7 linked regions of the Mus musculus genome follow. The main gene of each other region encodes a partner of the protein of the gene in region 3 in a complex. Links are inferred from orthologs where the notes say so. Each region holds a gene or a part of one and is shown on either strand. Other genes may lie near its edges.

Region 1 (3,949 bases), on a different chromosome or scaffold from region 3:
TGCTCTGGTCCCAAGCTGCTTCACTCTCCTTCCTTCAGGACACAGCATGAGGAGCTCTTTATTCCCCTCCCTCCCACAGGGAGGAAACTGTGAGCAAAATAGATCTTTCCCCTTTCAGGTTATTCTGTCAGGAATGGTCACAGCAAGCAATAAACTAGCAGAAGTTGGCCTGGTGATGATGAATGCCTTTAATCCCAACAGGGCAGGTGTATCCCTGCCTGAGTCTGAGGCCAGCCTGGTCTACAGGGCAAGTTCCTGGACAGCCAGGGCTACAGTTTTAAAGAAACAAAACAAGACAAACAAACAGCGACAAAAATTAACACAGAATACATTTGGAATGTGTGTACCTGAAAGCAATAGACAGTTTGGTTCTTTAGTAAGAATGCTTCCCCTCTCTCTCCGGGTATAAACCAAGGTGTGCCTTTTTTACTTCTACAAAAAAAATTAGGGGCTAGATTGATGGTTCAGTTGTTAAAATCATGGACTGCTCTTCCAAAGGCCCTGAGTTCAATTCTCAGCAACTACGCCCTCTTCTGGGGTGTCTGAAGACAACTACAGTGTACTCATATACATAAAATAAATAAATAAACCTTTAAAAAATTATTATTTTTATCGCCGGGCGTGGTGGCGCACGCCTTTAATCCCAGCACTCGGGAGGCAGAGGCAGGCGGATTTCTGAGTTCGAGGCCAGCCTGGTCTACAGAGTGAGTTCCAGGACAGCCAGGGCTATACAGAGAAACCCTGTCTCGAAAAACCAAAAAAAAAAAAAAAAAAAAAAAATTATTATTTTTTATGTGTATGTGTGTTTTGTCTATATGTGTTTCTGTGCACCATCTGTGCACAGTGCCTGAGGAGGCCAGAAGAGGATGATGGAGCCATTGGAAGTGGAACTACAAGCAGTTGTAGGCTGCTACCTCAATGCTGGAAATCAGACCTGGGTCCTCTGGAAGAACAGCTAGTGCTCTCAACCATTGAGCCAGCCCTCCAACTCCCTTCCTACATTAAGAATTTGGGCTGGAGAGATCACTCAAAGGTTAAGAGCACTGACTGCTCTTGCAGAGGTCCTGAGTTCAATTCCCAGCAACCACATGATAGCTCACATCCATCTATAATGAGATCTGGTGCCCTCTTCTGACATGCAGATATATATGCAGAACTATATATGCTGTGTATATAATAAATAAATCTTTATAAAAAGAAAGAAAGAAAGAAAGAAAGAAAGAAAGAAAGAAAGAAAGAAAGGAAGGAAGAAAGGAAGGAAGGAAGAAAGAAAGAAAGAAAATTCATGATGGGGCTGGAGAGATGGTTTAGTGGTTTAGAGCACTGACTACTCTTCTAAGGACGTGGGCTTGGGTCCAGCACTGCACATTTATGGTGCCCAACATCCATTCAGGCAGAACACTCGTACACATAAGAAGAACTAAATGCTATATTTCTAAGCTTAAATTTCTTGTCCTTTGAAGGCTGTGATAAGCCTAGGCCTGAAGGTGCTGGACTACAAGGGCATCCTTACGTTGTATCTGATGTCCAGGCCACGGTAGCTCAGTGGCTGCTTCTGTTGCAGCCTCAGGTCGCCATTCACATATAACTGTGACCCAGGGACAGCAAAGGAGGACTGGAGAAAGGCCATGCTCTGCATCTCGAATGTTGACATCCTCTAAAATCATTAGGGAGAGAGATGATGACATTGTCAGGTCTGAAGAGCCTGGGGGTCCACAACTCACTTGTCAGCAGCTGAAGATGATAGGCCCGGCATGAGTGTGTTAGCCCACTCAGGAACTTTCTGCCCAGAAAGGCCTATTACTTTGAATACTCAATTTGTCTATGTTAAGTTCCTAGTCACTTTCCATAGAAGAGCCATCTGCAGTGTGGCTCTCCCTAGGGAGAAGGAGGAGGAGAAGGAGAGATGACTCAGAGGTTAAGAGCACTGACTGCTCTTGCAGAGGTCCTGAGTTCAATTCCCAGCAACCACATGGTGGCTCACATCCATCTATAATGAGATCTGGTGCCCTCTTCTGACATGCAGACATATATGTGAGGACAGACTCACGTGCAGTTGGTAGGAGAAGGTCAGGATTAGCTGCACACCGAGGACATGCTCTGTGGGTTGCAGGGGAAGTTCAAGTTTAAAGTACAGCACATCCATTTTTCCATCCTGGTTCCGGTCTTCTTCTCTGGACTACAAAAGAAGAGATTTACTTTCTTAGAGAATTGTTATAGCTGGACAGTGGTGGCACACACATCTTTAATCCCAGCATTTGGGAGGCAGAGACAAGCAGATCTGAGTTCAAGGCCAGCCTGGTCTACAAAGTGAGCCAGTGCTATACAGAGAAACCCTGTCTTGGAAAACCAAAAACCAACCAACCAACCAACCAACAAACAAACAACAACAACAAAAAGAAAGAAAGAAAAGAAAAAGAAAAAGAAGGGCTAGAGAGACGTCTCAGTGGTTAAGACCACTGACTGCTCTTCTGGAGGTCCTGAGTCCAATTCCCAGCAACCACATGGTGGCTCACAACCATCTGTAATGGGATCCGATGCCCTCTTCTGGTGTGTCTGAAGAGAGCTACATTGTACTCACATACATGAAATAAATAAAAACAAACAAACAAAACCAAACACCTACATACAACCCCCCCAAAAAAACCAAACAAAATCAGTTATTTATTTTAGTTATATGTGTGGGTGGGTGGGTGGGTGGGTGGGGACTATGCAAGCCAGAAGACGCTGTTAGATGCCCTGGGGCTCAAGGTATAGGTGACTATGAGCTGCCTGAGGAAGGTGAAAACTTTGGGTCCTCTGTAAGGACAGATTTGAGCCCTGTCTCCAGCCCCTAGAGAGGAGTTTCTTTTTCCTCTCCCTCCTTGCTCTTATTCCTGTTGTTCTTTGTTTAGGGAGCTAGGGATTGGCTAGGGTCTCTTACACACTAGACTAGAGCTGACCACTGTGTGCTAGCTCCATCTCCAAGTCAGTCTGTCCAAATGGAAAGAGCAGGGCTGGAGAGCTGGCTCGGCCATTAAGAGGTCCCAGAGTTCAATTCCCAGCAACCACAAGGTGGCTCACTACCATCTGTGATGGGATCTGATGCCCTCTTCTGGCACACAGGTGTACATGCAGATGGAGCACGCACACAAAATAAATAAGTAAACCTTAAAAAAAAAAAAAATAGAAAAAACCCCCCAAAGTCTAACTCTAATCATCATGTGTTTACCAAGCAAGTGCTATTCAATCCACCAAGCTCTATTTATACATTTTGTTAAGATTTATTTTTATGTGTATAAATGTTTGCATGCACATATGTCTGTGCACTGAATGCATGCCTGCTATACACAGAGGTCAGAAGGGTTCTGGAAGAGGCCCTGAAAGTGTTGTTGCAGATGGCTGTGAGCTATCATGTGGGTGCTGGAAACTACACTCAGGTCCTCTGCAGAAGCAAGATCAGCCAGTGCTCTTAACCACTGAGCCGTTATGTGTAGCCCCTATTTGCACATCCTAAATCTCGAGTGACTTTGCTTCAGATACTTAAGGTTGGTTGGTTGGACTATCTGTCTCATTACTCGTGTCGAAGCATCAATCAATAAAATACAAAAAGGAAACTAAGATCAACAAGATACCAAGACCACAAATATTTGACAAAAATCAGAGAAGGGCATAAGAAAAGTCACAGCCCATAAATCGTATGTGGGCGGTTAAAAGTAGATCAGTAGGTGGTCCCCACAGTCTCAGCTGTGACACAGTGACCTGACAGTGGTCAGCAGGAGGGACGGAACTGAAATGTGACCCCTCCGCCAGGCCTTGACACACATCAATGCCTCTATGCTAAGCTCATTCACATTGCCCTCCCATATACACCTCTCTGCAACCAAGAGTTTTTGTTTCTCAAATGAGCAAGGTTGGAGCCAAGCTAGGTGCCTTTGGAGCCTTTAAGTGATTTCTTTCCTTCGAGACA
Region 2 (4,636 bases), on a different chromosome or scaffold from region 3:
CTGACCTAAAACTTTGAAGCTCCAGGGCATTACATGATTAAAGTCATTCACTCCAGAGGCTCTGCTTCCATTCTGACTCTACCCAGGGAGCAGTGGGATTCTGTATCAAGAAAAAAATTGGAGAGCCAGAGACAGGTAGGTCTCTTGATTTTGAGGCCAGCCTGGTCTACATTGAGAGTTCCAGGACAGTCAAGGCTACATAAAGAGACCCTGTCTCAAAAAAGAAAAAGACAAAAAAAGTAACAGAGCCAGTCATGGAACACACACCTAGAATCCCAGCACGCATAAGGTCAGAATTGAGAGTTCAAGATCATCCTGTTCTCCTTGCTTCAAAAAACCAAAACCAAATTGTGTATGTGTGTGTGTCTGTGTGTATACATATATCCATGTGTATACACATAGTAATTTATATGTGTATATGTAAAATATGTATAGCTATAATATGCATGTGTGTATGCAAATGTGTATATACATTAAAACTTCAATTAATATGTACAATAATTTAAGTGCATTAAAAATATCTGTTCTTAGACGGGCGTGGTGTCACACGTCTTTAATCCCAGCACTTGGGAGGCAGAGGCAGGCGGATTTCTGAGTTCGAGGCCATCCTGGTGTACAGAGTGAGTTCCAGGACAGCCAGGGCAACACAGAGAAACCCTGTCTCGAAAAAACAAAAAAACAAAAACAAAATATCTGTTCTTTAGGGCTACAGAGATGGATCATGGGTGGTTAAGAGCACTTGCTGACCTTCCTGAGGGCCCAGGTTCACCCACATGGCAGCTTAACAGTCTGTAACTGTAGTTCCAGAAGATCTGATGCCCTTTTCTTCTTCTTTTTAACTTTTAATTCTCACTTGGGTGTTTGTGTGTGCCTACAAAGGCCAGAAGACAACATTGGATCCCCGAAGCTGGAGTTTCAGGCAGTTGTGAGTTACCTGATGTGGATGCTCGGAACTAAACTGGGGTCCTCTTGCAAAAGCAGGAGGTTTAAAAGTCCTTTTAGACCTCTGAGCCATCTCTAGCCTAAGACCTTCTTCTGACCTCTGTGGGCACCAGACATACATGTAGTATACAGGCATACATACAGGCAAAATATCCATCGGCATAAAATAATGACTTTTAATTAAAAAATATGTATATCACAAGCCAAATATGGATACTGTACTGTATAAATCTTTCTGACTAATGCCAATATATAAAAAAAAATTTTTTTACCTTATTTTTCTTGCTTTTCTTTACTAGGTTTGAGCACATTGGCAAGTGTTGTTATTGTTTTGGTGTTTTGTTTTATTTTTTTAGCTAGGATCTATTTAAGATCTATTTAACTACGCATCCCTGTCTGCACTGGAATTCATTATGTCTAATTGAATGCATAGCCATCCCCTTGTCTCTGCCAGAGGGTACTGGGATTAAAGGCATGTGCCACCATGCTCACCTTAGCAAGGTTTTTGGTCCTCTATAATGACTTTTGTGAATTGACTGTTAGTATCCCTTACCATTCTCTCCCTTAGGTTTGTATTTTCGCACTAGGATGATATATTCTAAGTAATCAGCAGTTTTGCTCTGTTCTCTGGTGTCTAGGAACTTCTAGAGAAATCCTTGTTTAGAGAAGCGGAGGGGATCTTGAGCTCTTTAGGAATGTACTGCTTTCCTCTCTCAGAGCAAGGAGAAGACGCAGGCACTCTTGTGGCACTCAGGCAGCTGGGAGGACTGGTCTAAGATCAGTGCTACTGCCCGCTTCTAGCCTCACTCACAAACACACAGGTAAACCTTGACCTAGAATATGAAGCGGCAGCTTGAAGCCTCAGGGAAGAAGCAATGGTATATACATTACCAGATCCACTCTGATAGTGAGCCTAGGTTCTTTGTCTTGTTAATCAAGTTACAGGCTCCAGCATGTCTCATAAGCAATGGAAATATTTTCTGAACAACACTCACCGAAAAACAATCGTATGACTTCAATGCCAAGATAGAGCAGCAGCATCACCACATCCAGGACTAAGTTGGCTGTTGGGTACGGCAACAGGAGCCCTACAGGAGGGAAAGCCAGAGTATGCACACACCACCTAGCTAACGGTCAGCCCCACGGCCCCACAAGGATGGACGGCCACAAACCCGGGACAAGGATACCAACCAGTCTTAACATCTCACAAATCAGCAAGGTATAGATTGTTACAGCTACAGGCTTTAAGTTTCCAAGTCCTGACTCTGCCAAATGACTGAATTATAATGGTACACAGATCTGAATATTTTAGTAAAGAGAGATGGGGAAAGAGTTGGGATGGAGAAACCCACATTTCTCAAACTCAAGTCTTGCTGAAAGACATCCTATTTGATCATTCTAAAGCCATTAGTTGGAGAGACTTCTGCCTTGCAATGGAGATGCCGCTAGGACCAGAAGATAGAAGGTTCTTGGAGTATGCTAAAGTGGAAAAGGGTTGCTGGGGCAGAGGCAGATAGGCCCAGGCTTACCTTTGTACAGGAAAATAAGGAGCTCCAGCAGGAAATAGGTAGCATAGTACCACCCATTCAGAAAGAACAGGACTTCCAGGGGGGTTGAGGACAATCTTTTATCTGAAAGAAAGCAAAACAAAGAATGGGCAGGGCAGCTAGAGCTCTACTCTGTTCTGTGTGAAGGTTCTTTGTAATCCGGAGAAATCACAAGATTATTGTGAATGAGGGAGAAACTTCTGATTGCTAATGACGTGAGTGTTGGTGTGGCAGGAACTGCCTTCAATCTCCTTTCTCAGGAATCACTTTGACATCTACTTCTCTGACAATTCAGCTATAATCACAGCTGAGAGGCACCTCAAATATTCAACCCTGTCACTTCTGAGGGGGAAATTGAGGCACAGAAACTAATTCTGTCCAAGGCGGGAGGATTCATAACTGAGCCATCCCAGAATAGGGCCAGCCGGGGATTTTTAAGAGTACGGTATTCGAGTACCCATGCAGGCACTCGGGGTGATCAGAACAACCCAAGCCCGATTTAGACAAGTGAAGAGTAAGACCCCGACTTTTAGAAATGGAGGATTAGGTCGAGCTCTGGAGACAGAGAGGTGGAGGGGGCTGGCAGGTACCCGTGGGATAAGGGGCAGAGACACACACCTCCAGAGTCTCACCTCGCGGCGCCATGTTCAGTCCCCATGGAAACTGCGTACACTGCAGCGCCCGGAGCAATGCGGCGCTGCCGGAAGCGCGGCACCGAGCCGCCCGGTCTTCTGGCCGCTCTGCCTGCCGGTGCTACTCTATGGTTACCCCACCGGCCGCGCCCATGCACAGAACAGCGCCAGCCGTCAACCACCTACAGTGGTCTAGGGGGAGGATGGGGTTTTAAACGACGGCAGAGAGACCAGAACACTTCTCCAGCTGAACTCTCTCCATCCCCGGCGTCATGGCGTAGGTCGTTAGTGGCCCGGTGTGGCCGAGTAGTTGGAGGATCGGCCCTGCGCCCACCATTCTCTTTTCTACTGCATGTGTTTTTTTTAAAAACACCCCATGCCACTGTCGTGCAAAAGGCTTACCTGGAGCCTATGTAAACACCAAAACCGTTGAAGATAGAATGTCCTTTCTAGGAGTACAAGGGAAAACAGCGGTGCTATAATGAGATTCTCCTGCGACCCAAAGAGTGCAAGGGTGTTGAAAGGAGACAGCGTCTGGCCAGTTGGAAATTGAGAAATGTTTCCAACAAGCTTGCGCTATGAACGAACCCTGGCCGCAATTTGAAGCAAGAGCGTGTTGTTGCAGGCAGGGGGTGAAAGAGTAAGATTTCTGAAAAGACTCCAGCTGTCAGCCCTTAGAGTATGGCAGTCAGTCAACAAATAACGGGAGAGAGTAAGTAACCTGTAATGAAAGTGCTATTTCCCTACCTAGTAGGAGTGTGGATAAAGGCAGTAATTGTTGCTTCTCAAAGCAGGTCCTCACTCCGGGAGAATAATTTAAGTAGAAGCCTCCCTCCATCACTCCCCACCTCCACCTCTGCTCTCCTTCCTCCTTCACTTCTGCTTGTGCCTTCCACTGCCTTATTCAGGTCTGGTTTAGTTTGGCTAGACAGGTCTCCTATGTAGGCTAGGCAGGCCTCAAATTCTCCTGCCTCTGCTTCCCGTCCAGTACAGGGGTTTCAAGTGGGTGTCACAATGTTCTGGCAGGTCTTAAATGGAATTCTAAGTTCCCACTAAAGGACCACGGCAAGGTGAGGTGATGGAGAAAGCCCTGGTCCCTGCACCCCATCTGAACTACCTTCATACACACCCCTGCTCTGAGTCTCAGAGGAAAGGAGGGTGGACCAGTTGCTTGTTTTTGTAAATTATGGGTCTTAAATCACTCTGCCTAAACATTTTGATATTGTATACACATATAGTTCTCATGCTACAGTGAAAAGTTTACCCATTGTCAACAGAGATGATATAATCTATAGCCTTAATATCACCTGGTTGGTTAAGAAAATGATGCTGTTTCATGTCAGGATGCCACAACAGCATAGGTACCAAAAGTGGACACAGACTAAGTCAGTAACCTGCAGGAACCTTAGAATATGCAGCTGGGTCTCCTGCCCTCTGGGGTCTAACCCAAAGCTTGGGGCTGCTAAGCAAACACTCCCCACTGGGCTTTATCTATAGCCGTGCTCTTACACACTT
Region 3 (4,719 bases):
AAAATGACAGATGTAATGGACTTGTTTCCTCTCTCCCCATTCTTTCCCCATCATTACCTTCCAATGAGTTTTGAGAGAAATCAAATGACACCAAAATTGATCTCTCCTCTGAGCACTGCTGGCTCCAAAAAGATGAATAAACACCGCTCGCTCAGCTTTAATAAGCCCCTGTCGTCAGTGTTGGCCATGGCCACTTGTTAATACATTCTTTGACAGTGTCAAAATAAAAGCCCTGGGTGTGTGGAGCTGGAGCTTGGCAGTCTCCCTGTGCACTCGCTCTGCTCACCCTGATACACCAGCTCTCAGTAGGATGAGTGTCAATTTAGACCCAAGCAAACCAAGATTTCCGAAATCATGTGAGGCCACAGGTTTGAAATCTCCCTCTCAGAGTCTGACCTTTGTGCTTTGTGGTTCCAAAGTTCTCTCTCCATGGCCCCACTTTAATTTTGTTAAAACAAGATTACCATCACTAGTCTATACTGTCCTTGCTGTGAAAATACAATGGAAAACCACAAACACTATAGCAATGTCCTAATTATATAGGTGACACAAGGCCAATAATCTATTTTACACAGGGCAGATAACCAACTAATTTTAAAGGAAAGTATCTACACTGTTTTCTGACCACATGAACTGTCTCTAAAGTCAGCCATTAAGAGTCATATCCAAGAATCCAGGGATGAACCTCCAAGATACAGAGAAGGACTGAGAGGAAATGGCTATACTATATAAAGTACTTCTTAATTGAGACTGCTCCGAAAGGATGGTGTATTAATTATACAAAGAAATTATGGCTTTAAAGAGTGAGGTCTTTGGGAAAAAAAACATAGTCCTAGGTTCAAAATCCCCATTTTCTCACCAGTGTGTGATCTTGAAACAACACAGCCAATTCTATAAATTCATAATCAAATGTCCCACCTTAGGTGATCATCATTTCTTATGGGTAACCCATTCTTATGATGGACTCTGTACTGAAATGATTGTAATAAAGTGACTGTCACAGACCAGGCTCTCTGTGTTGGTAGGGTTTATGGTTTTATTATTATGGATGTTGCCAGAGTTTGGGTTAGAACAGTTGGCAACTCTAACAAGATAGGTTTGGCCACCAGTGCCCCAGTAGGGCAATGAAAGAGAAAAATAATGGACAAATCAGAGACAACATGATGACTTTGGGAAGTGGAACAGAGGTGCCCAGTAATGTCACAGTCAGTCTTCCAGGGTCCTGATATGAAATTTGGGTCTGAATAAAAGGTACCAGGAGGGATACATAGCTAAGCAATTTTGGTCAGTGTGGTCCTTTCCATCACTGACATGGCATTGTCTCTGTCCCTGTACCTTCTGCAAGGTGATTGACAAGCTGTCAGAACTGTCTTTTGGAGACAAGTCCTCCCTTGTGCTGGTACGAGCAGCCCATCTTTTCCTTCTCCCAGCGCTCAATACTGAGAAAATACAGCTCTGAGAGTCCATTGTTTTAATGGCTTAGAGTCCATTGTTTTAATGGTCCGATAGCTGAAGGAGATACACAAATGTGTCTTTAGAGTATCTTTTTACCAACCAGGATGGTCAGATGAAGAGGTCATGGTTGCGAGGGGAGGTGGGAGGAAGGGATGGAGAGGGGAAACAGAGGTTCAGAGATGGAAGAGAACCATAAGAAAACCTTAGGGTGTTGAGTGCTATCCCTTTACTCTCTTTAGTTTTTGTCACCCATCCCTGACAGCCATACACAAGTCTCTTCTCCCCTTCCTCCAGCCAGGACCAGGACACTTGTTTTCCCTCGTCTGTTTAAAATGTTGCTGGAACCTCCTCCCCTCCACGCATGCTCACTTTCTCTCTTCAGAGACGAGGCTTTTCCTTTCGAGTGGGAGGGCCCGCTCAAAGTTGTGAACTCTCAGGAGCCATCCTGTGCCTTTTTAATGATTAATTATGTAGCAGCAAGTTACTCTAGCCCCAGCTTCTAGGGTACCAGGTGAGTGACACAGCTGTGTGTGGTCATTTAATCAGATGGACGGGACACCTTTCACTTGATGAGGCCAGGTCAGCACCCAGGCTCTGCTCATGGGATTGCTCAGCTGCACAGGGGGTGCTGGAAGCACCTCTATGGCAGGAGTCCCGCTGTGGGCCAAGCTCTTTAGACCTTTTTACAAGTCTGTTTTGTCACTGATCTCATTATCTGTTTCTACATCTGCTTCCCCAGCAAAGTCTCACCACTGGACCTGGTCTAAGTTGGTTTTGTACACTGTAAACTTGAGTTCTTCATCTGCTGCATCATTGATGCTCACTAAAAACTTGAATAAATGACTCTGTAAGTGAACTCTAGGCCAACTATCTATATACAGATTGATCTATGTTTATATATGTGCATATCTCTCTATCTCTATGTATACATATATGCACATATTTTCTCTATCCATATACAGTTCCCCTCTATACAAAGCATGCTGTCGTTACACTTATTTGCAGAAATGTTATATAAAATGCAATAGCAGACATGTATTTCTCATTAGATTTTATTAGCATTTCATAGCACCTAGCATTTCATAGCACCTAAAATGAAAACAGCTGAGCTGATGGCCAGTAGACTTCTGAAAGCTTGGCAGACCTCAGCCCTGCGGTTCAGAGCTCTTTGTCCAATAACAAGAAAAGTGGAGCTCGCCACACGGAGAGTACTCCCTCCGGCCCGCCCTCCCCTTCCCCGGAGCAGTTTAAACTAAAGGCCCGAAAGCAACACGCAGCTAGTGCTTAGCAGCACACTGACCAGAGAGGCTCTCTGTGAACCGGTTTGCTTTTCCCCTGCAAGCCAGACAGCAGCTGAAATCAGAGCTGTCCCTGCAGTGCCCCCACTTTGCATTGAGAGAGTGAAACTGCAAGCAAGATGAAGGGTCTCTAATGTTAGCAAGATGAGAGTCCCTAACGTTACAAAGCATTCATTCCACTCTCACTGCACCAGGGAGGGGCTGGTTTCTCTGCCGGAACGGAAAGGAGAGGAAAGCAGGACACTGCAGCCTGTCTCTGTTAAAGACTGATTTACCTTCGTCCACTCTACAAAACGAAGTTTGCAGATTCCACTTGCTGGGCTGAAGGGATGAGATGAGAGACCAGTTGTGTCAAGCCAGAGAACCTTTTAGAAATGAGCGAAAGGGTGGGCTGGGGTAAGAGAGGTTACTCCCTGGGAAGCTGCAGCCATATCTCAGGGTTTAAAAAAAAACACCAGCTTAGCAACCAGTTCCCAGGGAAGGTCACTAGGCGGCCGCTTTTTTTTTTTAAAGTGGCAGTTTACTTTTAAGACTTGGAATATGAGCTTGCTGGGCAAGCAGTGGAAAAATAACGTGCTGAAGAGAGACAAAGGGAAAGCAACTGGGCAGCCTAGCAGAGAGGACTCAGGCTCTCAGCAGGGTGTCCTGCCTTATGTCTCTGGGTTGCATGGCCTGTTGGGTCAAGGACAGAAGGTGTTGATAAGTAGAGTGGTTTAGAATCAGGAGGGGCCATGTTGTGTGGAGCTGCCTAGTAAGCAGTAGCAAAGACTATGTGGCCGGGCATCAGAGCTATCAGAGCTCCAGCGTGTGTTGCATTAGGGATGTTGGCTGGCTGTGCACAGAAGCTGGACCGCACACGCCTAACCTCTGTTTCTTCAACTCTTCACTACAAATGACCCAGCGGCCCAGCAGGGATACAGACAAGATGGCTCAAAAAAAAAAAAAAAAAAAAAAAAAAAGGCAAGAAACCAGGAGAAAAGGCCAAGTAGTGAGAACAGTAGTAAGCAGACTCAGACTCTACAGGCCAAAGACAACCACAGATCAAGGAACTCCACAGACCGCGGCCTCCTAACCCCAAGTGTTGTTCCTCAGAAGCCTGCCATTTTGTTTCTTAGACAAGACCTCTGACTGGAAGCTGGCATTTGGTGATTAGGCTAGGCTGCCTGCCTAACTCCAGATCCCTGCTTGTCTTAGCTTGTCTGGTGCTGATAGAACAAACGTGGGCCACCATGCTGAGTGTTAGCCACCTTCAAAGCCAGGTCCTCATGCTTGTGTGATGAAAAGCCCTTTACTAATAGAACTATCTCCCAGCCCCTATTTTCTGTATCCCTAAAGCTCTGGCATTCACTGCATGGGTCTTAGATAGATCTCTGAAGCTAACTAATTCCTAGAGACAATAAATGACTCCAAGGAAATGCATATATTCTCTTTGATACGTACTAACTGACCCCAAGCTGGCATCTCCATCTACTGCAATCACCAAGAAGTACCCCTCTGCTCTAAGTCACTCTGGAGGCAGGTGCTTAGGGAGCATGTCTATGATCCAGAATATTCTGAAACAAGTCAAATTATTTAATTCTAAACCCACCAGCACACTTACCATGCCACAACCTTCCTTCCAGGGAAAACCCCAGTAAAGGGTCTCTTTTGGAGCCTGATGTTTGGAGAATGCTGTTTTTGGAGACTGCTGCTGATTGTGTTTGGTTGATTGGTCTGTCTTTGTATCCCCAGTGCTGGGAATATAGATGCCTGTAGCCACTTGGCTTTTTATGTGGGTGCTGGAGACCTGAGCTCAGTATTTATTCTGGGCCAGTATCTTATTGATTGAGTCATTTTTTTCCCAGCCCAAGAAACAAATTTATATCCATTGTGATATTCTGTTATAGAATTATAAGACATTTCCTGCTTTGAAGGATCTGTGTGAATAACCTTTCTACAAGACAGCCATGTCTGTGTCTTCATGTCT
Region 4 (3,732 bases), on a different chromosome or scaffold from region 3:
TGAGGAACGCCGGGTAGCGATCGAGTGTCCACGACGGTGAGCAGGGCTGTCTGGAGTCCTCAGGTCCTGCCTCCTTGCGAGACAGCGCAGTGCCAAGAAGTCCCCACGTCTCTGACTTGCAGTAGCAGCGGAAAAGTCTCAAAACTTTTTTCCTCTTCTCTCAACCAGCTCGTCCCTCCTCCCACTCCTCCTCCCCCTCCTCCCTGCGGCGGCGGCTGGTCTCAGACTCTGGGGCCTCGGACGGCTCCTCGGCTGCTCCTTTGCCGGCTCCCAGCGGAGGCCGACTCCGAGTGCGGCTCAGAGCCGGGGGTGCCCCGAAGGGGCGTCCCCCCTGCCCCGGCCGGGGGCCTGGCTGTCTGGAGGATCCGCGGCGGGAGGAGGAGGGGGACGGCCTGGGGCGCGAAGGGCGGCGGCGGCGGCGGGACCGGCTGGGGCGGCGGGGGTTTTGAAGCCGCCCCGGCCCCACCCAGGAAGCGCGCGCGGGGCGGGGGCAGCCCCAGGGGGAGGGCATGGGGGGGCACTGTCTTCATCTTAGCGTGGGCGGGCTCCAAGGGGGGTCCCTTCAGCCCTGCGGGGAGGGGGCGGGCACCCCGGCCTCGCCCCACCTCCAGGGTGCTGCCTCCTGGCGGCGGAGCACTACTAAAGCCGGTGACCAACCAAAGCGCCCCGGTGGATTTGGGAGTTGTTGAAGGGTCAAAGGAAAAATTGGGACTTCGTGAGAAAACAGAGTCCTGTATTAGAAGTGGGGACCTAGGCGGTGGAGAGCGAAAGGCAGGGGCAGACTTTGCGGATGAGAGTGTCAAGGAGAGTGAAATAAGGAGACCGACGTCTGAGAGCTTTAGCGGATACAAGGAGGCACCTTACCCATGAGAAATACACGCTTTTATTAAGTGCCCCCGACAGTCCAAACAGTGGGCCCTGCTCATGTCCCTCCAACCCACAGCCCTTTCTACCCCGTAGTTCAGTGGAGCATGGGCCACAGGGGAGTTCCTGGCCTTGCAGTCCATGGCATAGGGGCCATGACTTGGGGGTGATCAGGACTGACAGTCTCCAGAGTCCACGTGCCTGCTTCACTGCTGTGCCATTATGTGCTCAGTGGATGATGGCGATTAGTAGCAATGAAGTCCCTCAACACTCCACTCCATAGCGATCGAAGTGGCGCAGCAGCAGGCCGATACCAAGGTGCACTGTGCCACCCGCGGCCGTGTGCAGGCGGTAGCGGTCAGCCCCGCTGTAGATGGTATCTGCGTGCAGCAGCTGTGGCCCACCACCCACGAAAGCCCGTGCTAGCTGCTCCCTCCAACTGCCCAGGGGCCTCCATGTAGGGCAGTCCAGCTGATGAGTGCCTGGGCTGCTAGGCACATGGCAAAAGCCATAGCCAGCAAGCTGGCAGCGGCCAAAGCTGTCCTGGGACCACACCTGGAGATGGAGTCGAGGCCAACCTGCGGGAGGAGAGGCGTTAGAGAAAAGGACAAAGGGGCAGAACCCTGCTCCCGGGTTCCCAGCATTGAAACCACTGGAGACCTCGCACAGTACTTTTACCTTGGATTATTGCCTGAATTTCCTCTCTGGGTTCTCATCTCCCACTCACTCCACATAGTAGTCACAGGAATCTAGAGCAATCCACATTACCCTCTTGCTCAAAACCCTCCCATGACTCCCCTGGGCCACAGAACAAAGTCCAACCTCTCAAGTCAAGTCTGGCCTCGTCTGACCTCCCTTTGTGGTCTCTTCACTCTCCCAGGCCCCCAGGTCAGCACCTCAGCTTAGACCCCTTCCGCCCTCCTCCTCATGGACTTGCTTTGCTCTCACGCACCTGACTCAGATTTCCTTTCTTCCCCAGTGGAGCCATCTCTCCCCTTCGTTAGGTTTCTAGTGGCCTCAATGCACAGCTGAGTGTCCCAGCCTGACAGTCCAATGCTTGGAGATGCAGCCCAGCCCCCCCCCCCCCCAACCCTAAGCCCTCCCCTGGCAGGCCCTGTTCTCCAGGCTGGGGACACAGCAATGAACACAGCAGACAAAAATTCCTGCCCCGTGAAGCTGACATCCTAGACAACCAACATAGTAAATAAGTAAATTATAGGGTATGTCATATGGTGATAACCGCTCTGGGGAAAAACAACAGCCAGAAAGGGAGGGGTGGAGATGTAGTTTGGAAAATTGGGGAGCAGCTGAAGGAAGCTTTCCTAAAGAAGGTGACATTTGGGGCTGAACACTGCAGTGTACAGCTGGAATGCCAGCACTTGGGAGGTAGAGGCAAGAGGATCCCCAGAAGTTCAAGGCTAGCCTGGGCTACACAATGAGTTCTAGGACAACCAGGGCTACATATCTGAAGGGTGACATTTTGGCACACACTTGGGCTGCTGAGGCCCCAGGCTAGGCTGGACTATGTTCTGAGACTCTATCTCAAAAAGCAAACAAGCCAACCAGGATGCAACATAAATGCTTAAAGAAGTGGGCTCTCTAGGCACCTAGGGGAATGACAGATCCAGTCAGTGCAAAAGTTCCGAAGTAGGAGCTAGCCTGGTGGGGCCAATGAGGCTAGAACGGGGAGTCGTGGGGAACAAAGGACAGAGGTGACAGCCAGATTCCATAGGCCTGTGACGCCAGAGAAGGCTCCGGCTTTTCTCTTGAGCGATAGGAGGCCTGCAGGCAGGTTCCATACAGAGGAAGAACATGCTGTATTTAGGTCCTCCCAGGGTCCAGTCCAGTATCCAACCCTGAGAGCACAGTGAAGACAGAAAGAAAGAATGGTCCCAGAAGGCTGGGCGTGGTGGCACACGCCTTTTATCCCAGCACTTGGGAGGCAGAGGCAGGCAGATTTCTGAGTTTGAGGCCAGCCTGGTCTATAGAGTGAGTTCCAGGACAGCCAGGGCTATACAGAGAAACCCTGTCTTGAAAAACAAAACAAAACAAAACAAAACAAAAAACAAAAAATGGTCCCGGAAAGAGAAGATGGACAGAGAAGGCTGGGTGGGATGGGGTGAGAAACAAAAGTGGGTTTCAGAGCCGCCAGGGTTTGTTGGTGAGCTGAGAGACTAAGAAGGAAGCAAACAGGGAGGAAGACAGCTAAGGCCAGGACTGAGGAAAACTTCCAACGTATCACCCTCACAAACTAGTACAATTGTTCAGAAGGAGAATCTGATCCATCCATTTCTTCTTGGGCTCCCCAGAGCCTTCGAGAATCAGTCTTAGTGCCTTTGCAGGCGAGGCCTTACATTCTGTCCCTGCCGCCTCATCCCCCACTGTCCTTCTCACCCACAGACAGCGAATACCCAGGACACACCTCCCCATTTCTACCTGGCTCCAGCTCTCTGACTCCACCCTCTGTCTTTGTCCTTGGGCCTAGTTAGCTTCTCTTGGCCCTTTACAGCAGAACTCTAACTGCTCTGCCCTATAAGGCCATGGGACCAATCAGAGATGACTTCTGTGTTTCCAGGGCCTCTGTGCTGGCCACATTTGGAAACAGGTCTATCTTCTACCTATAATGGAACCCTTGATGACAGGGCTTGGAGGGTCCTTCTTAGTTGGGGATGTCCCTGCTCAAGCTGGACAGACGTAGGCTCAGTCAACAGTCCTCATTCCCAGAATCTGCTGTGTTTTAACCAGAAAAGCTGCACTGACATGATACCCTCCTCCTCCCTCGAAGACTCACTTCCCCTTTGAGCAGAACCTCTGCCTGTGTGAGCAACGGCAACTGGCCCATTTCCTGTCCCTCTCCTCCCTATCTAT
Region 5 (3,949 bases), about 79 Mb from region 3:
GATCTGTGTCAGTTTGAGGCCAGGCTGGTCTATATTGTGAGCTCAGTACATAGCAAGAGAGACTTTCTCAAAAACACAAAACCAAAAGTGAACAAATGAATCAAAGAGTCAAACCCTTCTACATCTAGCTGTCCTTTTAAATGCACTGCCACCTTCCCCCCAAGCACCAGGCTCTCCTTAAACATTCCAGTGGCCTGGAGTGGCCAGTCAGGTATCTCTTTCCCATAGGCTACCACAGCCCACCCATGCAGACAGGAAGGTGACTTTCTCTGCGGACCTCCAAAAGGATACCCCTTCTGAGGCTGAAAGCCAGCAGCCAGCGGGAGTCCCACCCTGTAACCAGGGTTGCCGCTGAGAGGAACAGGCTTGGTGCCATGCTGAAAGACAAGGTGATGCCCCGGGCTACAGTATTTAGGTACAAGCGGGGGCAACCCAGTGCTTCTCACTGTAACATCTGGAAGAACAGCTCCCTCTGTTCTCAAGTATAAATAGATCCCGGAGAGTGGGAGGACAGCACTCGGTGAGCCTGCCAGGCACGGGACAGCACCCGGCTTCCAGGCAAACCCCACAGCTCCTGCAGCGCAGCCTGGGAGCTGGGTCATGCTTCTAGACTGACGGTGCTGCCCCCAAAAGCCAGGCTTTTCTCCATCTGCCATCCACGCAGATCTCTCAGACTCACCTGAATAAAGTGAATCTCAAACTTCTGCTGCAGGAGACTCACAGCGCTGCTCAGTGTCCCCAGAACGAGGGAGAGGCCGGCTTCGTGGATCTGGCCTGTGGCTGTGTACAGCAGACTGTACTTCACCTGAGATGGAATGGGGCTCAGCAGCCATGTTACCAACTCTAAAGAGGCAGCCACAGAAAAGTCACGCCCCCAAGCCTGCTGTCTAATCACATTACTCATGTCCCCTTAACATCCCAGTGGTCACCTTGGCCTCTGTGTACTCAGGTTTTTGACATTTTAGATTCAGCTGGCTCAAACACAATAGGAACAGTCTATTTCTGCAGAAGAAATGAGTCCAATCAAGTAAACAGTGGTGACAATAAATTGTTATGTGTGCTACATATACGTGAGTGTGTATGCGTGTCCATGCGTGCACATACAGAGGTCAGAGAATGACACTGGGTGTCTTCTTCTGTAACTCTCTGCCTTGTTGCCTTGAGACGCAGTCTCACACTGAACCACAAGCTCTCTATTTCAGTGAGGCTGGCTGACCAGTGCACTCCTGGGATCTGCCGATCTCTGTTCCCCAATGCTGGGGTTATAGCCAGGGGTAGTAGCCATGCTTGGCTTTTACGTGGGTGCTGGGGGTTTGAACTCAGGTCCTCATGCTTGTGGAACAAACATTCTTACTCTACTGAACCATCTTTCTAGCCACTGACGAAAACATTTTGATGTATTCTTACAACGTGTCAGGTTTATGGAGACCTGTAAAGACATGTCCTCTGACGACAGGGCAGAGCAGCAGAAGCAACTGGAGGTCAGACCAAGAAGGGTATCAGCATGGTATGGAGCACAGTGCCCTCTGGACGGTGTGCCGTTCCCTGTGCCCCACAGGCTGGAGTCAGGCAGTCGGACAGGACTGCAGAGGCACACTGGATGCCTACCTGGAGAACAACGTTGCTGCAGAGTCTGTCTTGCCCAGTGCTGACCAGAGATGGCCGCAGGACACCATGGCCTTCTAACTGCGTCAGTGTGTGATTCAGAGACCGATACATTACAGACTGGATCTTGATGGAGACCTGAGAGGGAGAGTATCCTTGGGTATGAGGCTACCGCATGTGACATAAAGCACGGGTGACAGTACCCAGAGCCTAAAATGAATACTTAGTGACAGCAAATGCAAAGCAGGGGACACACACACTGCCACACGCTGTGCATGCTGTAAACTCACTCTTGCAAGAGGACAGGTATTTACACACACACACACACACACACACACACACACACACACACACACACACACACACTATGCTTAACACCAAAAGACAGAGTCCATGCTCCTACACACTCAGTCCTAGGTTCACAGCCAGAAGCCCAGCTTCCCAGAGCAAACCACTGCCTCAGGAGATGCAGCCTGCCTTCCAGGCAGCACACACACAGTGGCTGGCGAGGCAGCAGGGTCCAGGAAGGACAAAGTCAGACAAACTTTCTAAATGATATCAGGGAGCCTGGATGGGGACCAGCTCCAGAAGAGTGACTAAGCAACAAGGACCCCTGAGGATGCCAGGATGCTTCTGACGAGGACTCTCCAGGTGACATTTGGGAAGACGCCCAAAGCACCTGCTCACCAAGCTGTCTTCAACTTATGCTGAACTGTTTATAATTTAAGCTGGCAAGTGTGGAAGCCATCACCTTAGAAATAAACATGCAGCCTTTCCACGCTGCTCCTATGACCAAGGCAAACCTGCAACTGCCCTCCCAGGTCACAGTCACTCTCTCAGGGAGACAGCATGGGGACATGGGTGACAGGAAAAGGCAATCTAGTCTGCACAACTCTCTATGCCACCAAGGAACCTCAACAGCTTGAGCCAAGTGGGGAACCCTGTGACTTAACTAGCTCTTGTTAACATCAAAAGGCCACTGGAAAGCTGGGCGTGGTGGCGCATGCCTTTAATCCCAGCACCCGGGAGGCAGAGGCAGGCAGATTTCTGAGTTCGAGGCTAGCCTGGTCTACAAAGTGAGTTCCAGGACAGCCAGGGCTATACAGAGAAACCCTGTCTCGAAAAACCAAAAAAAAAAAAAAAAAAAAAAAAAAAAAAAAAGCCACTGGATCTAAACAGCACGAGGACAGGGCCAGTCTGAAACAGTAGAAACAAGGCACTTTCTAGAGGCTGTGTCACAGAAAGGCCTGACACGTCTTCCATTTTATTTTGAGAACAGAATCTCACTGTGTTACCCTGGCTGGCCTGGGACTCTCTATGTAGACCACCCTGGCCTTGAGCTCACAGAGATCTGCCTGCCTCTGACTTCCAATTGATGGGAGTAAAGCCATGTGCTTCTATGCCAGGGTAAAAATTATCCTTAAAACAATCAGATAACTCGAAGAATGTGATACCTGTGTTTGACCTCTGGCCAATGACTTATGTACACTCGTGTACACATCCTTCCTAGCCCATCCCCAACAAACCACACACCCACACACACTCACCACGGAGAGAGACAGACAGACAGACAGACAGGCAGGCAGGCTTTATGCTTTTACCTGTGTCATTGAATTAGGTACCTAGACAGAAAGAAAGCACAGCTAAGTTAGGCACAACAAGCAGATGAGTCTCTACAGCCTTCCCAGACTTCAGCGAAGGCCACGCTCACCATCGAGACACCACCACCATGACAGCAGATTCTGCACTCAGGACCACTCTTGCATCTCTGTGGTAACCACCACACTTCCCTCTGTTGTCTCATCCTCCCTCAGCAGCAGCACTCCCGAGGCTTGCCTGCTCTGCTGTCACTATCCCACACTGCCTCTCAGCCCTAACACTGGGGAGAGAGTCACTGCTTGGTCCCTTGCTGCACCTGTCTTCACGGCAGGGTCACATCCCTGGCACAGAAGGTATCCAGGGCCTGACTCTGGTCTCCCAGGCCGAGCCTCAGCCTGATGCTAACATCACATGGCTGTCCTTCCCATCTCATGGCTCCATACCCTCTCAGGCCAGGGGTCCTGACAGAAAAGGCACGCTTGGGGAAGTCTGTACTAAGAGAGAGCTACACCTTGTCACATTTGAGGACAATTTGAGAATTCAAACTTACTAGAACTCAGGCCTGGAGGACCAACTTAGAAAACAGGAGGGACTAAGGAGGGTAAAGGACTCTGAATATGGCAGCCCAGGTGCCTCACCCTCCCACAACACTAATAAGAACTTAGAAACCAGGAGGGGCCTTGGACATTATCCCATGGTTGAGTCACCTCTTCCTCTCTTCAGCCCTCCCTCCCTGTCATGTAGG
Region 6 (4,504 bases), on a different chromosome or scaffold from region 3:
CTTGAAATCTAGCTGAAGATGTGAAATAACTTATCCATGTGCACAGAGTTAATCAAGTCAAAATAATGAGGACTAGAACTCCCATCTGAGCCCATAGCCCTTGGTCTTCAGCCCTTTGTCTACGATGTCTCAAAGGTTATCTTATTCTCACAGTCTCCCATGGCTAAACCTTACAAGCGATCTCATCCCTGTCTCTGCTTCTAAGAACTAAACTCACAAGCATAAAACCTTGTGGACCTCTCCTTTCCCTGGTTCCTCCTTTCAAAGTCTGGTCCTTTCCTACTGCATCCCCTCTCAGCTTCTCAGAATCTCGGTGTGGTTACTTCCCACACCCTTCCCCCTCAGCTGCTACTAAGCTTTCTATATGCTTCTCCAGACTGACAGCCCCATTCAGAAGGGATCCGTTTTTACTTCACTGGATGCATAATTCTTAGAACTCAAGTCACAAAAGCACATTCTGTGTAATGAATAAACGCATGAGCACAAAATCTTGTATTTTCCAATCTGGGAGGATTTGAAAACAATTTAAAATAATGCAATTAATAACAACTACAAGAAAATTCAAAAACAAGGAAATATAAAAGGATATATATATACCTCCAGTTCATTTTCCAGTTTCATTACTTTTGTCTTTAATTGATTTTCTATTTAAAAAAAAACACAAATGTTTTAATTGGTTAAGTTTCCTATAATCAGATTTTAAGTAAACTTTAATAAAATAGTACTGTTCTCTGTAAAAGATTCCATCCTTAACAGATACAGGAAAGTAATTATTATATACTAAATGCATAAAATATGCATTCTAGAAATGCCTCATGTAGAGAGCAGAGGAAGGCTTCAGTGCATGAGCCCTGAGTCAGTGTGTACTACTGACATGGGCAAAGCCACGTCAGGAACTCCAAATGTCTCAGGCCTATGGCAAACGGCAAAGCCTTCCCTCCTCGTCTGACTGTGGATGTTGACAGGGTGTGCAGAAAATGTCCCCCTAATGTTTATGGCTCCCTTATAGAGACTACTCCTACTGAGATTTGATAAATCTGCCTCCCTATTCAACAGCAGAAACCCTGCCTTCATGTTTATCTGTATGCACTCACTCGACTTTATGTTCAGCTATGCAACAACTCCACTGCTCTGGTCAAGTGGATATAATACAGACAGTGAGCTTCTGGGGTGGGGCAGTTGCTCCATTAGAGAGCCTGGTCCAACCGAAAACAACTGTTCTAAGTGTCTGTGTGTTTTCTTTTCTTCACCCCCTACCACAGCACTCAGGCCAGTACCTGGAACTGCACAAGGATGTAGCATCTTTCAGTATAAATTGAATACATATGTTATAGAATAGGATAGATTTTATACTGTCTAATAAGTAATGGAACCACAGTAGTTTTTTCCCAAGACATTTACCAAATTTTGCTTGTTCTTCTCCAGCCTTTTCAACTTCTTCCAAAGCGAGCTCTACTTCCTGGGCTTTCATCTGAACATTAAAACGAGAGGGGAAGAATCTGTATTATTTACACTGTAATGTAAACAGTGGGAATGGAAACTGTGTGGAATTTGCTATCTCAGTCTGTAGTGTGTACGATGACTAACACACAGAGACAGTCAGTAAATAGTTGTTGAATAAATACATAAGGCTAGAAATTCCAGAATGGCAAGACTTTGAATTATATCTGATTTTTCCGTTAAACTTTATAGCCATTACTTAAAATGTTTTCAATATCTTTTTTACTATCCCAATTGTTATTATTAATAAATTTAGTAATTCCTTCTTATAATTGGAACTAATCAGCTCTCATCCCTTCAGTCTATACAACACATTTAATGTTGCCTTCATAAGTACATTTCTTTACCAAGTATGATTTAAAAACCTTTATTCCCTTCTAAAATGCTGATAACCAAAATATACTCTCAAACTCTTGAACAGTATATCCCAAATTACTGGCCCCAAATATTTTTCTATATGCTTTTACCTTAATGTAAAGAATACATATTCTTTCTCAGTATTTATTTATGAAGAATCTAGAATCCTCTTATCATTTCATGTATAGCTTATAGGGGAGAGATTTTGTATTTTATTTGACCATATGATTCTTTATGACTCTTTATGTTTCTCCTAAAAAATATTTCTTTTCCTACACACTCTTTCCTACAAACCTTCATTAGAGACTGGGTAATTCTGAATAGATGTATCATGTTTTCTTGGTCTTCATTTTTTAGTTCATTTACTTCCACCTAAGGAAACAAACACACAAAAAATGGACTATTTCATACCCTGCACATTAAATACAAGCACTCTTCCAGTTATAGCATTCAATGATTTCAAGAAGCAATTTCAATTCATGACATTGTACATCAGGCTCTGTGTACAAATCATTTATTAAGTACCTTGGATAAAGATATCAATAATTTATCTGCTAACTCTTCTTGCCGTGGCAGGTCATCTGGATCAACTTTGATTAATTCTTTCCACTTTATATTAGGTGGCATCTTGAATTCTTTCACTGTCTCTCAGCCTCTACAAAGAAGCAGGTGGATTTTAGCATTTTCAAGGAAAATGGCCTTGCAGTGTTTACATGATCATGAGCGGTCTTACTTAACTCTCTAGGTGCTGGCTAAGAGCTATGGCTCCTGAACTGCAAAACAGATGCAGAGGCAAACAGCCTCGACGAAAATTAGTTCCCCTGACACAGGCTATACGATAATGTACACGCTAAATTATTATTTTCTTGCTAAGACGAATTCGGAGCTAAAACCCCGAGGCCCCTTTTCCAAGTCCCCTACCATCAATGATGGTACCAACTCCCAAGATGTTTGGAAGTTTTTGAAAACCTTCTGAGGAAAGGGGACCAGAGGATTTTTAAAGTAGATAAAAAGACTGAGCTAAATGAAGTGTTTGCGGAATCAAGCTCAATCAGGGAGGCCGAGACGACACTGCAGACAAGAGCGACAGAGGTCTGGATAGGTAGGGCTGCACCCTGTCCCTCGGGATTACGATCCTGTGAACGACACTAAGCGGCTCCGGCTCACGAGGATCCACCCACCGAAACCAAGACCTGCCACCAGCAGCAGTCACTCATCTACAGCGACCACCTCCGGGTTCGGCCACCGCCCCGGCCTCACGCTTCCCAGAGCGGTCCTCGCGCACTCAGGCTGCTCCCGCCAACTCTTCCCGACCGAGCCGAAGCGGCGCCGGCTGCTAGGCGACACCACTCCCCGCCCCCCAGCCTGCCAAGACCGGAACTAGGCCCCGGGATACCTGGGAAGACTACATTTCACGACCCTGGAAAAAGCTTTACGGCTCTATTTCCCCTCCAAGCCCTCCTTACTGTGGATGAGGGAGAGCCGTGAGATGAGGACTCTACGTCCCAGAGTGCAGTTCGGCGTCGCGGCTGTGCATCCTGGGATTGGAAGTTTTTGGGAAGAGCGGCGCGTTCCCGGCGTGCAATGCGGGAGTCTGCGGCCGCCCTGGAAGAGCTGGGGGAAGGCTCGGGAGGCGGGAGGAGCGGCTGCTAAGGTGCGGCCGCCCCGGAGTCCGAGCGTGGCAGGCTATGACTGTGTTTTCTGCGGAGTCCTTCTCCGGTCCACCATCCCAGAAGCTTTCCTGAACCGTCTCCTGGCGGAGCCGCCCTCAGGTGAGGTCGGGGCGTGTCAACCCACAGCCAGGAGTAGCTCAGGGAACCTTTGCGTTTTTAGGGAAGCGCTAGCTTGGGGCTGCCGAAGGGCTGGCGGATCTTGCAGAGGTTTGGGAAAGAGTCCTCCGGCTACTCAGGTAGGTGCGAGGGGCTCCCAGTTAGTGGCTTCCCTAAGAGGGGAGTCAATAAAAGTTTCCAGCCTCCTTGGTGTCTGGGAAAGTGGAGCGCCCCCACCCCCACCGCACCCCCTGAGTTCACGCTCTGGTTGAGTGAAGAAGGAGCGTCAAGATGGGGCAGCCTCCTGCAGCAGCTTGCGGATTGTAGTGCTTATTAGGTTAATAAGAGTGGAGTGAAGGCCAAGGAAAGAGGAGCCTTAGTGCGCCCAAGGCTCTTAAGCCGGGCTGGAGGGAGGGAGGAGGGCCATGCCAAGCGATGGCATTTTGCTGTCATTTGCTGGGTACCAAGGGAGTTCTTGGGGGAAAGTGCCTTCTCCTTCTCAGATGTTAATCTTCTTACTCAGGGAACTGTTGCCAAATGCACAGCTATTCTACACCAGCAGGTAACTTTAGGAGCTGTAAGCATCTATTTGAAAGAGTGCGTCTCGTATATATGTATGAATGTATGTATGTATGTATACGTGGATAGATATATAAGGTACTTATACATATCATACATAATAGATATTAAGTAATTAAAAGAAAAATGTAGACAGTTACATTTTTCTTTTGAAAAGATTTCTGCGGTTGAGAAAAACAAATAGCACAAAAAAATGGTATTTGAAACAAATTTTAAAGACGTTCTTCAGATTTGTAGGCCTGATTGCAGTGTTTGCTTTATTTCTAAATACTGTTTAGTTTTGGAATTATTCTTTGTGG
Region 7 (3,949 bases), on a different chromosome or scaffold from region 3:
TGCTAGGAGGGGTTTGAAAAGAATAGAACACTGAAAAGAGAAGAAGAGAAAGGAAAAGAATAGTGTATGGAAATAGCCCAAGGACTCGTCTCTAAGAAAGTGTTAGCAAGGAGAATATTTTCATATAAGTTGCAAAACCTGAGATAAAGATTAATGTTTAAACATAAGCTACTGTGATTTGTTTCTTTATGTTAATGGATTTGAAATATTTTGAAATAACTTTAACCATTGTGTTTTAATATAGGAAAATAACTATATTATATAGTTACATACATTTTATATATATATATATATGTTGTAAATAATAACATATATCATATAAAATACAACAGCATACTTAAAAATATGCTGGAAGTTACATAACAGTAATGTTTGTACCTAAAAATGACTACAAAGAATAACCAATCACATTTAGTAGAATTTTATAACTGGAAGTCAGGAGAAATCCAGCCCGGTCAGTGCCCCTTCTCTCAGTGAGGAAACTGCAGTGCACAAGCGTGTGTGCAGCTAGTAACAAATCTAGTTGAGTAAACGGCATATTTCTTTCACTCCAAGTTCAGGACTCTTTCCATTATATTCGTGGGTAATTTCTTATGTGGCTCTTTAGAAATCCAAGAATGATCTATTGTTTCAACAATTTTCTCTGATTTCAGGAAAACCCAGCCAGCTGAGCCACAGTATGCTAGCGAGCTAGGGGTGGAAGATGAAGACATACTCACAGATGAGCAGAGCACTCTAGAACATCACTCTAGGTTCACGGCACCCACCGGAGTTAGCCAGCCTGTTGGCAAAGTATTTGTGGAAAAAAGCCGTAAGTAACTCCTTGTTTTGGAATACAATTGCTCTAAATATTGTATAGGGATATCTTTAACCTGGTGATGATAGTTCTGATGACCTGAGTGAAGGAAATAATAAAGTAATGTAGAGGAAAATTGACACACAAAACTAGTCATTATGCTATTGTTTTTTTTCCCAACTGGATTTTATTTGTTTTAAAATACATTTTTAAATAAATAAGTCCCATTAGTGACTGTGTTCTCTGTGCTCCCAGGGAGGTTTCAGGCGGCGGACCGTTCCGAGTTGATAAAGACCACAGAAAACATAGATGTGTCAATGGACGTGAAGCCATCTTGGACTACCCGAGATGTGGCACTTTCTGTGCACCGAGCTTTCAGGTGGCTGCCTTTTGTTGGTGTTCGTTAAGCAGATGTTAATTGGATATCATCATTTAAAACCAAAGAAAAAAGCCTTGGTTGTTCTGTACTTTGTAAACAGTTTGACAATTTAAAATGGTATGTAGATTTAGTTTTGTAGACATTCCACTTGTGCTTCTCATAATATGTTAAATTGTATTATATTTGAGGAGATTTTAAAAATACCTTAGCCTTTTATTTTAGTGGCTAATATATAATTAAACTTTTCTCCTTCTTATCTTTGAGTACTTTTCATAATTTATTTATTGACTTTACATACCAATCACAGCACCGCTTCCTCCTGTCCACCCCGTCCTGCCCATATGTCCCTCTCCTGATTACCTGCTCCCTCTCTCCTCAGAGAAGAGTAAGTTCCCACCCCACCCTGGGACCTCCATTCCCACAGTAATTAAACTCTTCTGTGCAGGATGGTCGGTCTGTTCTCTCATGGCTTCTTGGCTGGCTGTGCTGTGTGGAATACTGTTGTGATCTACGTTCTTGCAGGAGATCAGCTGTCTAATGTCTCCAACCTTCTGCAGCAGTACAAGCCCTTGGCTTATCCCTTCCAGAGCCTTCTTTACTTGCTTTTGGCTCTAAGTACAGTTTCAGCATTTGATAGGTAAGGCTGTTGTGAATGTGGGGCCTTCTAACCTTCCTTTAGGAAGAAATAGTGAGCAATATATGTCACTATGACTTTTCAAGGTAGAATGTTTGTTTTTTAAACCAGTCTTTGGATTAGCATGGCCTTATCTTCATTTCAAAGTATCCATAGAGATCTCATTTCCAAATAAAGTCACCTTCATAAGGACTAAGGTTAGACCATCACCACTTATTTTGGGAAACACATAGGTCAACCCATTTTAAAAAATATCAGCAGGACTGGGGAGATGGCTCCATGGGTAAAGATGCCTGCTCTCATGCCTGCTGTCCTCAGTTTGCTACTACCTAGGACCCATATTGTGGTAGGAGACAACCAACTCCTACCTCCACATGTGCACCAAAGCTCATAACTCAAGGTGTGTGTGTGTGTGTGTGTGTGTGGCGGTAGGTAGACTAGAGAAGGGAACACCACCGAGGGAAGTACATTGTGTTACAGCTGCACAGTGACAAAGCTTTCATCTCATTCTAGGACTGACTTTGCTAAAATATCAGTAGCAATCCGGAACTTTTTGGCCCTGGAACCAACAGCTTTAGCTTCTTTTCGTGAGTAATAGTTACTGTGATAACTATGTTATAATTGAGGAGCAATTCTGTCACTTTGAATCAAGAAAAATATTGTATAGAAGGTTTATATTATTTCTTCATATAAACCATTAGATCAATGAATTTGTAATTTAAAATGTGGTAGGAGTAATTTTTTTAGAACTATTCTTTTGTTTTTGTTTTTGAGGTAGGATCTGTTACATAGCTCAGGCTGGCCTTGAACTTTGTGTGTGGTTGAGAATAGCCTTGAACTTCTCATTCTGTTTGCTCTCCTTTAAATGCTGGGATTTGTAACCACCCAGTGCCGTGCCTGGCTTGCAAGTGTTTCTTATTTGAAGATCATCCAAATGACTTTCAGAAGTTGAATGTATATGTGAGATGCTGGGTTTAATGTTCTGCACCAAAAGTAATAAGTAATGTTAAATGTGTGGCCTTCATTACTTATTCAGCTTCTGTGTTTTCCACTTGGTAGACACAGCTGGCATGGCCTTTTAGTAATGAATACCATTTTATATATTTCTGGCATTCTACAGTACATTTTTTGTAGGTTACAAGATTCTATTAAAGCGAGTTTGAGGACCTTGAACAAGTAATTTAAATTCTTAAAATCCTTTTAGGCTCTTTCTTGCCAGTTCCAATGATAAAATTGTACTCACCTATTACACTCTGCACCGTATTATCTACATAATAAAAGCTGCCTAGTGGCATTAAATGTATTTCTTTTGTATAATCATTCACCAAAGTGTGGCTTATTTTGGTCTTAAAATTCAATATAAACAGCAGTCAAATTTATTAGTAATTTCACTTCTTCCCCCTCAGTGTATTTTACTGCTCTAATACTATCTCTGAGTCAGCAAATGACAAGTGACAGAATCCACCTTTACGAACCTTCTGTCAATGGAAGCCTCTGGTAAGAATCTACAGTAATATGCTAACAGCAGCAGTGGGGGAGGAGGAGGGCAATGATACCATTCCACATTTTCATCTGTAGATCATAACAAGGCTATGTTTCTGTTTATAATAAACCATGAGAAGAAAACACCTGTTCTGTTGGTTAATGGATAATGACCTTTTTATATTTTTACTTTTGTTTTTCTTGACATGTAGTTTCAAGTAGCCAAACCTCCTTATGTAGGTGAGGCTGGCTTTGAACTCCTGATCATACTGCCTGTCCCACCTAAGTGCTGTGATTACAGGCATGAGCACTGTACCCAGCTTATACCTGGATTGTTAAACTATCATCTTTTTAAAAATATGCAGCGGATTGGAGGTGCTCTATGCCTTTACCCCATGCAGAGAGCCTAATACCACAGAATGATGGTAGAGAGGGTGGCTGGAATACAGCCCAAGAACTGCTAGGAAGACAGTGTGGGAGAAGCAGCATTCACAGATGAGTAGCCAGCTGATGGGTTGACCAGATGGCTGAAAGTCCAGTTTGACTGAATGACAGTCTCCTTTGAAAGAGTGAATAGGTGTGGGCTAAGAGAGAAAGGAGATTGTCAGTTGAATAGTGCCATGATATTGTAAGGGAAATTGTTGGGACTCTTGAGGGG

What was found.
Region 1: Cc2d2a (region 3) and Tmem231 share a complex: the UniProt entries of both Homo sapiens proteins name them as parts of the tectonic-like complex. The link is inferred for Mus musculus from reciprocal best matches to the Homo sapiens genes CC2D2A and TMEM231.
Region 2: Cc2d2a (region 3) and Tmem216 share a complex: the UniProt entries of both Homo sapiens proteins name them as parts of the tectonic-like complex. The link is inferred for Mus musculus from reciprocal best matches to the Homo sapiens genes CC2D2A and TMEM216.
Region 4: Cc2d2a (region 3) and B9d2 share a complex: the UniProt entries of both Homo sapiens proteins name them as parts of the tectonic-like complex. The link is inferred for Mus musculus from reciprocal best matches to the Homo sapiens genes CC2D2A and B9D2.
Region 5: Cc2d2a (region 3) and Tctn1 share a complex: the UniProt entries of both Homo sapiens proteins name them as parts of the tectonic-like complex. The link is inferred for Mus musculus from reciprocal best matches to the Homo sapiens genes CC2D2A and TCTN1.
Region 6: Cc2d2a (region 3) and Cep290 share a complex: the UniProt entries of both Homo sapiens proteins name them as parts of the tectonic-like complex. The link is inferred for Mus musculus from reciprocal best matches to the Homo sapiens genes CC2D2A and CEP290.
Region 7: Cc2d2a (region 3) and Tmem237 share a complex: the UniProt entries of both Homo sapiens proteins name them as parts of the tectonic-like complex. The link is inferred for Mus musculus from reciprocal best matches to the Homo sapiens genes CC2D2A and TMEM237.

Annotation. Positions count from the first base shown.
Region 1 is NC_000074.6:111,916,778-111,920,726, forward strand, and holds part of Tmem231 (transmembrane protein 231), read right to left. Parts: intron 2,180-3,949; coding exon 2,051-2,179; intron 1,658-2,050; coding exon 1,514-1,657; intron 1-1,513. UniProt on the Homo sapiens protein: Transmembrane component of the tectonic-like complex, a complex localized at the transition zone of primary cilia and acting as a barrier that prevents diffusion of transmembrane proteins between the cilia and plasma membranes.
Region 2 is NC_000085.6:10,552,592-10,557,227, forward strand, and holds the start of Tmem216 (transmembrane protein 216), read right to left. Parts: upstream 3,173-4,636; 5' UTR 3,135-3,172; coding exon 3,122-3,134; exon of another isoform or gene 3,108-3,121; intron 2,574-3,107; coding exon 2,472-2,573; intron 2,031-2,471; coding exon 1,938-2,030; intron 1-1,937. UniProt on the Homo sapiens protein: Part of the tectonic-like complex which is required for tissue-specific ciliogenesis and may regulate ciliary membrane composition.
Region 3 is NC_000071.6:43,660,869-43,665,587, reverse strand, and holds the start of Cc2d2a (coiled-coil and C2 domain-containing protein 2A), read right to left. Parts: upstream 3,210-4,719; 5' UTR 3,029-3,209; intron 213-3,028; exon of another isoform or gene 58-212; intron 1-57. UniProt on the Homo sapiens protein: Component of the tectonic-like complex, a complex localized at the transition zone of primary cilia and acting as a barrier that prevents diffusion of transmembrane proteins between the cilia and plasma membranes.
Region 4 is NC_000073.6:25,683,691-25,687,422, reverse strand, and holds the end of B9d2 (B9 domain-containing protein 2), read right to left. Parts: intron 1,443-3,732; coding exon 1,129-1,442; 3' UTR 861-1,128; downstream 1-860. UniProt on the Homo sapiens protein: Component of the tectonic-like complex, a complex localized at the transition zone of primary cilia and acting as a barrier that prevents diffusion of transmembrane proteins between the cilia and plasma membranes.
Region 5 is NC_000071.6:122,247,241-122,251,189, forward strand, and holds part of Tctn1 (tectonic-1 precursor), read right to left. Parts: intron 3,228-3,949; coding exon 3,207-3,227; intron 1,744-3,206; coding exon 1,609-1,743; intron 806-1,608; coding exon 680-805; intron 378-679; coding exon 292-377; intron 1-291. UniProt on the Homo sapiens protein: Component of the tectonic-like complex, a complex localized at the transition zone of primary cilia and acting as a barrier that prevents diffusion of transmembrane proteins between the cilia and plasma membranes.
Region 6 is NC_000076.6:100,486,287-100,490,790, reverse strand, and holds the start of Cep290 (centrosomal protein of 290 kDa), read right to left. Parts: upstream 3,210-4,504; 5' UTR 3,039-3,209; intron 2,513-3,038; 5' UTR 2,485-2,512; coding exon 2,383-2,484; intron 2,230-2,382; coding exon 2,152-2,229; intron 1,472-2,151; coding exon 1,402-1,471; intron 645-1,401; coding exon 598-644; intron 1-597. UniProt on the Homo sapiens protein: Involved in early and late steps in cilia formation. Its association with CCP110 is required for inhibition of primary cilia formation by CCP110.
Region 7 is NC_000067.6:59,105,901-59,109,849, reverse strand, and holds part of Tmem237 (transmembrane protein 237), read left to right. Parts: intron 1-653; coding exon 654-811; intron 812-1,051; coding exon 1,052-1,175; intron 1,176-1,620; coding exon 1,621-1,812; intron 1,813-2,322; coding exon 2,323-2,396; intron 2,397-3,215; coding exon 3,216-3,306; intron 3,307-3,949. UniProt on the Homo sapiens protein: Component of the transition zone in primary cilia. Required for ciliogenesis.